2 linked regions of the Caenorhabditis elegans genome follow. The protein of the gene in region 2 interacts with the protein of the main gene of each other region in a pairwise test. Each region holds a gene or a part of one and is shown on either strand. Other genes may lie near its edges.

Region 1 (5,972 bases), on a different chromosome or scaffold from region 2:
GATTTAAATACAGTTTTACATCAAAAAGAACACAAATCAATGAAAAAACAAGGACTACGAGAAAAAAAAACAAAAAGTGTGTTTTGATCTTGATCTTGACCCATTGCGGCTGGCGGCAAAACTTGGATTTTCATTTTTATGCGTTCCAGTTTCTTGAGCGTTTCTGAGTGTTTTCGGCGCATTTCTGGTTTTTTTGGAGTTTACAGCCTTTTTCAGAAATTGTTTCACTCGATTTTTCTATTTTTTCTGTGCATATATGCACAGAAAAAATATATGGTTTCCATTTTCCGAGTATCTTCAAATCTGCGTTTTGATTTTTTACTTTTCATTCTAATTTTCAGGTAAGATGTCGTCTAGTGGCTCTCCACCTTCCACGCTTGTATCGACTTTCGAGGAAGCAATTGCGAAGTTGACCTCACTTTTTGGCATGATGCGCATGATGGAAGCAGAAATTAAGGATCAGCGGAACAATCTTCAAGCATTGAAAAATTCCCAGCGCCTGTCTGTCAGAGGAAGCATTCAGTCAAATATGTCGAGCAGGACGGATGGAATTCTTCAACGAAGACTAGATGAGACGGAGAGAAAGTTGGCCAAAACTTCAGCCGAACTCAAGGCCAAAGATGAGAAGTTGAAGAAGGAGACGGCAAGTCTTGAAGCCAGTCGTGAGGCTCATCGATTATTGCAAGAAGAATCGAACAAGTCGAAGGTGTCTGTGATGCGCCTTACGTTCAAGCTCAATCGCATCACACATGAATCTGTGAAAGAGCAGGCTGTTCTGAAGAAGAAGCTTCTGGACTGCGAGACCCGACTCGCTACATATTCCGAGTGCCTCGTCTGCTACCAGAAGTTTGACGAGAACACAAGAATTCCACGTGTCATGGGTGAGTAAATAAACGGATTTAAATGCTTGCTTGATTATAGATTATTAAGCTGAACTCTTATCAATTTCAGTCCAATAATTCTATCAAATTTTCAGACTGTGGACATACTCTGTGCGACTTCTGCATCAATCAGATTGTCAAGATGGCGGGTTGCTACAGCGCAACATGCCCTTTTGACCGTGTGCGCATTTTTGGATTTGGGAAGAGTCGTCGTCTCGAGGATCGCCCTTGCAATCGATTCATCATGAAATAACTGCTCCCATTTCTACATTGAAGACTCACTTATTGTATTGTGAATACTCTTATGTACATTGTTTTATCGAGAATTTGTAAATAGTATTATACTTGCACCTCTAACCTTTTTTTGCACCTTTAACCTATTTTATTTAGATTTCGTTTACAAAAAAGAAACAATAAACATTTCATGTCATGTTTTTCCTCAAATTCTCCGTTCTGTTATTGGAATTTACACCGATGAGAATCATGTTGCGTTCAATTTTTTATTGAAGAAATTTTACAAAATATAATGAGATCACAGTTGATTTCTTTCCTCGTAAAAGCGAATCATTTCTTGTTAGTAGTTGTGACGAATTCGAGAACTTGATCGTAGAGCTTCTTCTTTGCTTCTTGTGGAATTTCCCTTCTCGCCATATCCTTGACAGCATCGAAAACCTCCTTGGCACTCACGTCATCTCTGGCTTTCTGAAAAATGAGAATTAAGCGATTATGTTTGAACGAAACTGACCTCCAAGAACTTCTTCACTTCTTTCCTCACAGCGATCTCCCATTCACTATTTTGCAGACTGCTGAGTAATGTACTCTAAATTTATTGGAATTATGCCACCGAATTTTACGAATTTACTCACTTTTACAAGCGCCGACTCTCCACTGTCTTGAAATTCCATTTCGATCTGCTCTGGCTTCTTACGCATGATCAGGTCGTCGTTCATTTTTCTTTTTTTTTAGTTTTCTGAAAATTAACATAATTAATAAAATAAAACAATGCTTTACAGCAGATTTTAAAGAGAAAAACGAAGACATACACAAAGAAAGAATATGTAAAAGGTGTGTCGATTTACGATAAACAACACGCGGGCGCAATAGTGGAGTGTCGTAAGATCCGCGAAAAATGTGAATTCGAAAGGTTTCTTTTTTCTACCATTTTATAGTATTTTCTACCATTTTATCATTTTCTCAACTAAATTTCACTTTTTTCAGATAAAATATGGATTTTCTCCATTCAACAAAAGCTAGAAAAAGATATCTTCGATATCCATCATCAATATATGAAGAATTAGAATCAAAACATTATTCTATGCCGGCCGGAGAAACCGATGATCACGTAAGATTTTGCTGAGGAATACGCTGATAATTTCATAAAAATAGTATTTCAGGACACTTGGGTAACAGCCAGGTTTTCGCCTCACTTGAATCAAGAGCACATTTTGTACATGGGAGATGATCCGGGAAATATAGGAATTTTCGATGTTCGCAAGTTTCAAGATCGATCAGTGCCTTTGGAAGAACGGCAACTTTATTGTGATCTGAGCATACCTTGATTGAGGAATTTAAAAATCAAAAAGATTTCAGTTTTTCCCGCTCACGATGGTGCAATTATGGACGTTGTAGGTGTTCCCCAAAAGGAATCGCAAATTGTTTCAATATCTGGAGATTCTACTATTCGATGTTGGGATTTAAATCAATCTACGTTGGATCGAAAGTCCCAAGTGTTTTTTGGACACGAAGGATCTGTACGGTCGATCTGTTTCGCTCCGGATGATCCTAGTAAGTGTTTTTGATATTTTAAAAAATTTTTCGTGATAAAAATTTAATTCCAGACGTTTTTGTGACCGGTGGACGTGATTTCCAAGTCAAAATCTGGGATATGCGAGTATCCACAGTGAAGAAGATGGAAGAAGATTGTCGAATGGCAACTATCACATACAAGACTGCACATCCAAAACCATCAAAAGTATTAACATCAGGAACTCCTAAATCAAAAGCAAAAGCGAAAACGATAGAAGGTTATAAAGTGACAAGTGTTCTTTTTCTTGATGAGCATCACGTGGCAAGTGCTTCAGAAAATGCAGATAGTGGAATACGAGTCTGGGATATTCGAAAACCGACAAGAAACGGAGAAGGCCAGCCAGCCAGAATTCTAAAAGTTCCCACATCCAACAAAAAATCGTATGGGGTGACTTGTCTGACATTAGATCGTTTTGGTAATCGACTGTTTGCGTCATGCACCGATTCTTCAATTTTCGAGTACTCCGTTCCATCGGAGTCTGTTTCACCGAGTAAGGTTTATCGAATTTGGGTAGAAATCTCAGAAGAGAAAATCAGATTTATTTTTTAGCCGCGGCAAATCTACAAATTTTTTCATTAAAATTTAGTGATAGAGTATAAAAAATCATTTGATTCATATGAAAGTAGCTTATTTTTTAGCTGGGACAATTGAAAAAGTGCTCAAAAATCGCCGTTTGCCGAATTTTCCGGTAATTTTCAAGACAAGTTTTGAGCACTTTTCAATTTTTTTCGACTAAAATTATAGCTAATATCAGAAAATTCAAATTTTTTTTGCCATATTTTAGCACTAAATTTAATGAAAAATACTAGAAGAACATGCCATACTAGCCAATTTTGTAGAATTTCTGGTATCTCATCAATTGAGAAAGTCACAAACAAATAAAAGCATTACTTTGTGGCATTCCATGTCTTGTGCTTCAACCACGTTGCCGACACATGTTCTCGATCAATACACAAAAAACCTTGAACTTTCAGTTAATTCCTACACTGGCGCCACCATTCACAACTTTTATACCCAAGTCGCCTGCTCTCCGGTTTCTGATGTGATCGCATGTGGAAGTGAGGATAGTCGGGCTGTTGTTTGGGATCTTCAGGATCAATACAACTACATGAATGATCGAAAACTTCCGGATGATATTGACAAGCGGAGAACGAAACTTCCGCGATTTTCCTGCGATGGTCATCTTAAGCAAGTGTTGAACGTCGGATGGAGTTCTCGTGGAACATATTTCATGTCTTGTGATGAAGGAGGCGTCCGAATCTGGTCAGAGCCTAGGAATAGATGTACATGGAAGTTGAATGACGAAGATGATACCTCTTACCCGACTACTTCCCAGGAGCTCGGACTTTCATACGAAAAAATCAAGAAATTTGAGCTAAAAGAATCTGATGAAGCTATGTCGTGTTTCGATAGTATTTCCTTATCACCCAGACAGCGAGCTGATTCTTCCGGACTAAGTGGATCACCACAGAAGAATCGAGGATCGAAAAGACCTATATTTGAAAGCCCGTTAAAATCAATTTGCACAAATAGTCCAAAACCTCTCAGATTGAATAGATCTCCGAGAGCCAAGATGAGCAAGTAAGGAATATTTATCAGAAAAATGCAATCGACGTGGAAGCGTGCTCCACGGCCAATTGAAAACGCTCCGCCCCTACAAGCTGGGTCTCGTTAGGTGTTTGGCGGCATAACTGTAATTCCAAACGTTTTCAGTTCGTTTCGCCAATTTTCAACCATTTTCGTCTTAAAAAAACTACAATTTTCGTTGTTTAAGGTTTTTTCATTTTACTATATCTTTTCAATTTCGGCAAAAAATTATTAAACGCTTGCAACGAAAAATATTTTAAAAATCAAAAAAAAAACCTTGAGATCGGCGGATTTTGCCGTCAATTCCCAACGAGACCCAACATTTTGGGGCGGAGCGTTTTCAGTTCGCCGTGGAGCGCTCTTGCACCTTTTCGATTTTAAGTATACACTTTTCGTAAGCATCTAAAAAAATTATTTCAGATTATCTTTCTCCCCACCATCACCACTTCAACCAACTAATTCAAATAACCAGGATCTTGTCGGCTACCGTACTCCCCGACAAATCCGTAACAAAAAGAAGAAGAATAATCCATTTTACAACGAGCATCCAACTGAGGGTCTGCCAAACTTTGTCTACGATACATTCGTCAAAAAACTCATAGGAGAATCTTCAAAATCTGATATTGAAGATTCCGGAAAATCGTTGAGCAAGACTGGACAGAAGAGAATCGAAGACTGGTGGCAAACCAAGGGAGAAAATGTGGCAACAGTGACAAGGGCGAGGTGAAAAAATTATTAAAATTTGTCATAAATATTCAATATTATAAGTTTCAGACTCCCAAGTGTCAGTGAATTCGGTGAATCAGCATGCTCAAAAGTTATAACCGAAGACGAACGGATCGCTCTTCACTCTCCGCGTAAACTTGTTCTCAAATCATCTTCAACCCAATCTCCGTGCCCATCAAATTCAAAGCCTAAGCCCATCCCAATGACTCCACGAAAACCGATGGATAAACGACCGACAAGTCGTAATCTGTTACACTACTTCAAAAAGTAGAAATTGTGTGTAGAATTAATTGTTTTATCTCTTTCCCAACCCATGTTGCTATGTCATAAGTATTTTCACTCCCCTTCCCCATTTTCATCAGTTCTAAACTGTAAATACGTTCCTTTTTTTTCGTTTTTATCCCCGAAGCCTAATCATCGTCGGTAAAATAGTGAAAATCTGTAAAAGTAAATTAAAATTTTTATTTTTAACCCTTTGTTAGAAACAATTAAAACAAAACAACTGAAAATGTCATTTTTAAAAACCCGTTCCTCTCTTCTTCCTGCTACTCCGTTTGACTTCTACCTCCCACGACCAAATCCACGATTTCCGATTGTCCGTAAGCGATTCAGTAATAGTGTCGATTGAGCAGATGATGCAGTTGATGACGTCATTTGTTTGAATCCGAACTTGGACTTGACCTCGATCATGAGAACTTGAATAGCCTGGAATGCTTCTCGGCACACTTGATTGATCCGATCTTCTGGGAGGGAGAATCCAGTGCTGGAAATTGAAAAGTGGGTGAAAATAAAAAGAAAATAGTCCGGATAACTTACAAATCATCAATTGGAGAGAGCTCGATGGTGTAGGAGTACTTGATTCCACGAGACTTTGCCCAATCATCTGATGCTCCAGCGGCAGGATCTGAAATATAAAGTTTACCAGAATAATCGTATCGTCGGGAACTTACAAAGGCCATCTCCAGAGTTTA
Region 2 (6,410 bases):
TTCTTTTGTCAGAATCTATGAAATAGTCACTTCACTTTTTAATTACTACAATTAACAAATACGGTTTTTTTCTAGAATAATCACGTCTACGTTGGAGATCATCTTATCCGACCATTAACAAACTTTGAGAAACAGAAAATACAGTTAGTTAAAATGAGACGAATGTATGGAGAATCAAAAAGGAAACGTAGCAAAAGAAGCTCGAAACCATTGTAAGTTCATCCAATATTCTGCATTTTCAAATAATCTTGTTTCAGGCCTGGCACACGACCACAAAGAGATTTTAGTGAAATGCTTCACAAACTTTTGAATATTAACTCTACAGTAACTTCTCGATTCCTTCCAGTAGTTAGTCAAAGTCCTCTCTTTGCAATGGAAGGTCCGTGGCAGAATTTGTTTGAACTCGGGAAAGGTGATTTCCTTTCTTCGAGATATTTGTTATGAAAATTAAACATTTCATTATTCCAGATAAGGATATGATTGAATTATTAGCTGCTTCACAATTTAAACCCCAATTACCACCCGTTGCATCAGTTCCAGTAGCTCCAGTCATTGATATTACGAAGATTGATTCTCCGTATAGAGCCACTTTTACAACAATGAAACCAAGAAAATCACAGAAACCAGAAAAAAAGAAAGAAGTTTTCAATGTTTTCACTACTAAAACTAATCCTCAAATTACCACGACTACTATGACAACCACAACAAGAACATCCACAGGTAACATCTACAAGACAACTATTTGAAAAATTCAGTATATACAACATTTTCAAAATTGCAATTTATAATTAATAAATTAAGTTAACATCCGATTAAAGCTGTCAATTTTCAGCCATTCCAACAACTACCACAACTCCAAGACAAATATCACTTCAAACGATTCCATTTTCAACCACAACTAGACAACCAAATTTTGATAAAACCAAGACTCCTGCAACAATGCCATCAGCTTCTTCTTCTTCACTTTCAAGTATTCAAACAGTTGTTGATCCAATTATCTTGAAGTTAATTTCAAAGGCATTGGAAAAAAATGAAATGATTGATGAATATTCATTGAAACAGGCTCTATCGATGAGAAATGTTGCAACTACTACTGTAGGTTTAAATCTTTAATACATCTGAATTATCAATTATTTCAGACTCCTCTTCCACTTCGTTTCATTCTTCCAACACCTGCAGCCCCAAATCCATTTCTACCGTCTACAAGAGTTGGAGGTCTTTCTCATAATCATCTATTCATTCCCCATCAACCGTTTACTACTCTTGTTTCGACCGATTCTAGATATTCTGCACCGAACCCTCTTTCTCATCGACTTCCAAACGAGATTTGCCGAGTTCATATGAATTCAAATCCTTTCCATTTTTAGTTTTATTACTCTACCAAATAATTAAACAGACTTTTCCTATCGGGTCCCCTAATTTTCTTTCATTTTTCAGGCATCTCGGTTGTTTTTTTCAAAGTATTTTGACCTAATTTTCCATGTTGAAATTAATAAAATATTTATTAAATGAACACAAACACAGATGTTGGAATTGTCTTCTTCTGGTCAAGTACTGGATATACTCTCTTTTTTTGATAATGCTGAATTGATAAATTTTTGGTTCCAATGAAAGGATCAAACATTGTAGAAAATCTTTACAAAAATAATTGTAGACCTACTATTATAATAAATACAGTTTTATGCAGAGTCTGCGTCTCTCAATATGAACAGCCTCTCAAGCACTAGAGATGCGCCAGCACGCCGCGCGTCAGCAAACGTCTTTGGCCTCAGTTTGCCTTCAAAATAATGCATGAGTTCGGCATTTCAAATATTATTTAAGCCAAATTGTTTTTCTAAACTGCGGAAATCTAATTTTGAGAAAAGGAAATTTTAAATCCAATCGTTTTATTTTAATCTTAAAATATCTTTCTATATAAAACCGCCAACCGTCCTGTTTGTTTCTTCAGAGATACTAATAATCTAACATTTTCAACAGAACAAATTGGATGACATCTGGAGCACCACCGACTATTTCAACAGAAAAAAGTCGAAGTAAACAGCTTCGAAAATCGTCAAAGCGCACAGCCAGCACCGTTGAAGGTACAGAGGTAGTAATTAAATAATATTTTCAATGTGAGAAAAAATAAATTGCAGGCTAAGCAAATGCGCGGCGACACTGAAAATCGTTCCGACGGAGAAATGGACGATGTTTCAACAAGCAGCGAAATCAGACATGGAAATGGATTTATTGAGAATTTCAGAGTGAGTTATTAATTTATTAAAATGTTCATCGGTGGGAAGTTTTCAGAGTCAAACCGGCAATTCTTCACGCACAACCGCAACAAATGAACGCATCAAAAAGAAACTTGTGATAAAGAACTTTAAAGGTAATATTTGTAAAGTTTTCATTAGTTATTTTGATTTCCAGCGAACGCGAATCAAAATGATGTTGCGATGGGGGACACCAATATTGATAGTAAGTTTATTCTTCGATAGGTGTTATATTTTGTTTGATATCCAGGTACAGACGGATCAGTTGGTAGAGATTGGGCTGTTCTTTCGGATAATGTTTTCGCTATTCTTGAAGATAGGAAAACAGTAACCACTTTGGAAGGCTTATTCAGCGTAAGTTTTTGATTGTTTAAAACATTGTAAAAACTGAGCGTTTTCAGAAGGTCAGATCTGTGTGCGATAAAAATCAATCAAAAGTACTTTACGATCGTCTCGTTGCAATTGTTGTTCAGTTTGCAAAATCATTAAAGGAGTCGTTAAATGCGGTTGAGCAAGTTCCTCTTGCAGAAGACAATTGTGAGCAATATTTGGAAAAGTTTGGGCAGATCTGGCAAGCATATCCAGTTAAAATCGTAAGTGAAGAGTTTTATTTAAAAAAAAACAATAGATTTAACTCAGAATCTCATCAGGAATATTTTTCTTCATCTGGACCGAATTGCGCTCGGCGCTACAGACACAGAAATTCTCCCTTTGTGGGAATGTTTCATGCAAATATTTCAAAAAACATTCTTCCCGAACATTTTCAAGGAATTCAAAGCAACAAAACTGTTCAATGCTCTCTATATGGCGATGCAGAAAATTATGCAGAGGTATCCAGTGGACAGTCCTCTCAGAAGTCTTGTAGATATGCTTCAAACAGTTCATGTGTCTGAAGAATTTGCAAAATTCCTTATTAGCCAACTTCGAGAGCACTATAACAATGAGAGAATCGATAAAGTTCCAAAAATGAATGTAGGTTTTTATTTTCATTCTTTGAAAAATCTCGATTACTTATATTTATTTTAGTGCAACGATTACATGGAATACTGTGAAGACCAGATAAATCGATATTCGCAATTAGTGAAAGTGAACTTTGATGAACCGTCGGCTCTAAAAGATGTTCAGGCAACAGTGACAAACTGTCTCATTCAACAAGCAATTCCTGAAATTCTCACACATGATTTTGACGATCTTATCGATTCTGATAACATTTCGGATATCGGCCGAATGTTTAATTTGTGCCGTCAATGCGTTGGTGGAGAGGATGAAGTACGTACACAATTCTCAAAGTATTTGAAAAAACGCGGAGAGAAATTGATTGCTACGTGTCCTGATGAAGATCTTGTTTCTGAGCTACTTGCTTTCAAGAAGAAAGTTGATTTTATCAGTAAGTATTTCAAAGTTCTCTGTTATTTTTATTATTATCAAAAATTTTAAATTCCTCATACGTGGATCATTAATCATATTTCAGTGACTGGAAGCTTCAAATCCGCAAATGATCCAGTAAAAATGAGACAATGTTTGTCAGATGCCTTTGAATCTTTTGTAAATAAACAAGTCGATCGATCTGCAGAACTTATTTGTAAGTCATAATTCGAAATTTCTATATTATAATTTCTATTTTTCAGCAAAGCACTTCCACACACTTCTTCACAGTAGCAATAAAAATGTATCAGACGACACAACTCTCGATCAAATGGTAGATGAAGCTATTGTGTTGTTCCGATATCTTCGTGGAAAAGACGTTTTTGAAGCATATTATAAAAGAGGTCTTGCTAAGCGGCTTTTCCTTGAAAGAAGTGCATCTGTTGATGCTGAAAAGATGGTTTTATGCAAGTTAAAGACAGGTATTTAATACTTTTTAGTTTTCAAATTAATAACTTTTTGATTTAGAGTGTGGCTCGGCGTTCACATACAAATTGGAAGGAATGTTCAAAGATATGGATGCATCTGAAAATTATGGAAGATTATTCAACCAATATCTAGAACATATGAACAAAGAAAAAGCGAATTTCACTGCTCGAGTCATAACTCCAGAATATTGGCCAACCTATGACACATATGAAATTAATATTCCAAAAGAGATGAGAGATACACTTACCGATTATCAAGATTTTTACCGTGTTCAACATGGAAATCGGAATGTTAAATGGCATCACGGACTGGCTTCTGCGGTTATTTCTGCTTCATTCAGGCCTGGATGTAAGAAAGAATTAATTGCAACAATGTATCAAACTGTCATTCTTCTTCTTTTCAACAAATGTGAGACATGGACTGTCGCTGAAATTGTTGAGCACACTAAGATTCTGGAAATTGAAGTCGTCAAAAATGTGCTTGCACTTCTTGGTGGACGTGATAAGCCTAAGGTTTTGCAGAGAGTCGAAGGAGGTGGATCCGAAAAGGTAACTAACTTTTCATTCAACTCAACTAAAAATGTCTTTGTTTAGAAGGAAGGTACTGTGGAAAATTTGAAAAACGAGAAATTTGTTGTAAATTCTAAATTCACGGAGAAGCGCTGCCGAGTTAGGATTGCTCAGGTCAATATAAAGACAGCTGTGGAAGAGACGAAGGAAGTGAAAGAAGAAGTGAATTCTGATCGACAATACAAAATTGACGCTGCTGTTGTAAGAATTATGAAGGCTCGAAAGCAGCTAAACCATCAAACTCTAATGACGGAGTTATTGCAACAATTGAGGTAAGTTTTCAGAAAAAAAACTTTATTTTTAAATTCAAAAAATTCAATCAATTTTTTATTCGAGAAATAGTAATATCAATATAAGCCGAAAAATAAAAACTGGTTTTGAAATTTTTTATGAAAATATTGAATGTAAAATATAAATTGGCACACAACTACAAACCAAAATCAAAGGAAATGTAAAAATTGAGAACTTTTTCAATACTCTCAAAAACATAGCATTTAGTAAATTAATATGAATTTTGACATTTTGAAGCGATTTCCTTGATAAAAATTTGTCTAAATTTTGCTAAATTTGCTGCTAAGGTAAAATAAATGTTAATTATTCTAAATGAGTTTTTTTTGTTTCAGATTCCCCGTGAGCACCGCCGATATCAAGAAACGCCTGGAATCACTCATCGAACGTGAATATATATCGAGGGATCCTGAAGAGGCATCTAGCTATAATTATGTTGCGTAATACATAATATCATTTTTATTCCTTTTTCAAATTCAATCCTTATCCGTGCCACTGGTCTCTTCTCATCTCGTTTGCCCTGTTATTGAACAGTTTTCTTCCTTTATTTGTGCGAGTTTCGTCTTTTTTAGAGAAAAATGTACTAAATGTTAGTTTCTGTTTTTTCAATTATGTTTTTCTCTTCACCTAACATGTGCATCCAAAATACTGTTGAATACATGGTTATTTGATTGAATTCTTTATACGAAATTACTCGAATCGGTTGAAATATCCGTGATCTTACATTTTTTTGGTTTTTTTTTTCTTAATCAATTTTCAAAGTTTCTCGTTAAGCAGACACAAAATGGTTCGAACCTGCTCGAACTGCGGAAGTTCTGAAATTGATGAGGATGCTGCTAGAGGAGATGCTACGTGCACTGCGTGCGGAACTGTGCTCGAAGAATCCATTGTCGTAACTGAAAATCAATTTCAAGAGCGAGCTGGTGGATCAGGTCACACTCTAGTCGGTATGTGGTAGGAATGTTAAAAGTATTTACAAAATGTTATTTCAGGTCAATTTGTGTCCTCAGAGCGAGCTGCAGCTAACAATTTCAATGGAATGGGATCTCAAGAATCTCGAGAAATGACGTATGCAAAAGGCCGGAAAGTTATTGATGAGCTCGGCAGTCAGTTACGAATAAATTCACATTGTATGAACACTGCATTCAATTTTTACAAAATGTGCGTATCTCGTAACCTGACACGTGGACGTAATAGATCATCCGTTGTTGCTGTTTGCATGTATATAACTTGTCGACTAGAAAACACTGCTCATTTGTTGCTCGATTTCAGTGATGTCACTCAGGTATGACATTTCGGTAAACTTTTGTAATTAATAAGTGCAATTTCAGATTAATGTCTTCGATTTGGGAAGAAACTTGAACTACCTTTCTCGTTCATTGCGTATCAATCTCCCATCCACGGATCCTTGTCTTTACATTATGCGATTCGCATGTGTTTTGGATTT

What was found.
Region 1: the proteins of cul-4 (region 2) and cdt-2 interact in a two-hybrid assay, tested with the Caenorhabditis elegans proteins (one study listed by BioGRID).

What each region holds. Positions count from the first base shown.
Region 1 is NC_003283.11:14,987,047-14,993,018, reverse strand, and holds cdt-2 (WD_REPEATS_REGION domain-containing protein), read left to right. Parts: upstream 1-1,892; 5' UTR 1,893-2,025; intron 2,026-2,099; 5' UTR 2,100-2,106; coding exon 2,107-2,223; intron 2,224-2,275; coding exon 2,276-2,420; intron 2,421-2,471; coding exon 2,472-2,666; intron 2,667-2,719; coding exon 2,720-3,178; intron 3,179-3,662; coding exon 3,663-4,269; intron 4,270-4,695; coding exon 4,696-4,998; intron 4,999-5,049; coding exon 5,050-5,272; 3' UTR 5,273-5,472; downstream 5,473-5,972. Other genes in the region: T01C3.3 (RING-type domain-containing protein), read left to right, coding at 347-881, 977-1,134; T01C3.2 (Transcription and mRNA export factor ENY2), read right to left, coding at 1,446-1,583, 1,627-1,701, 1,748-1,831; F02D8.4 (Peptidase M14 domain-containing protein), read right to left, coding at 5,563-5,764, 5,818-5,905, 5,952-5,972.
Region 2 is NC_003280.10:7,300,124-7,306,533, forward strand, and holds cul-4 (Cullin-4), read left to right. Parts: upstream 1-1,977; 5' UTR 1,978-1,987; coding exon 1,988-2,089; intron 2,090-2,135; coding exon 2,136-2,243; intron 2,244-2,289; coding exon 2,290-2,368; intron 2,369-2,409; coding exon 2,410-2,457; intron 2,458-2,502; coding exon 2,503-2,606; intron 2,607-2,653; coding exon 2,654-2,845; intron 2,846-2,891; coding exon 2,892-3,224; intron 3,225-3,278; coding exon 3,279-3,639; intron 3,640-3,723; coding exon 3,724-3,834; intron 3,835-3,880; coding exon 3,881-4,099; intron 4,100-4,145; coding exon 4,146-4,654; intron 4,655-4,699; coding exon 4,700-4,947; intron 4,948-5,298; coding exon 5,299-5,407; 3' UTR 5,408-5,635; downstream 5,636-6,410. Other genes in the region: C30G12.1 (uncharacterized protein), read left to right, coding at 76-212, 258-412, 469-720, 833-1,095, 1,140-1,367; brf-1 (B-related factor 1), read left to right, coding at 5,748-5,910, 5,956-6,248, 6,295-6,410. UniProt on the Caenorhabditis elegans protein: Component of cullin-based E3 ubiquitin-protein ligase complexes which mediate the ubiquitination and subsequent proteasomal degradation of target proteins.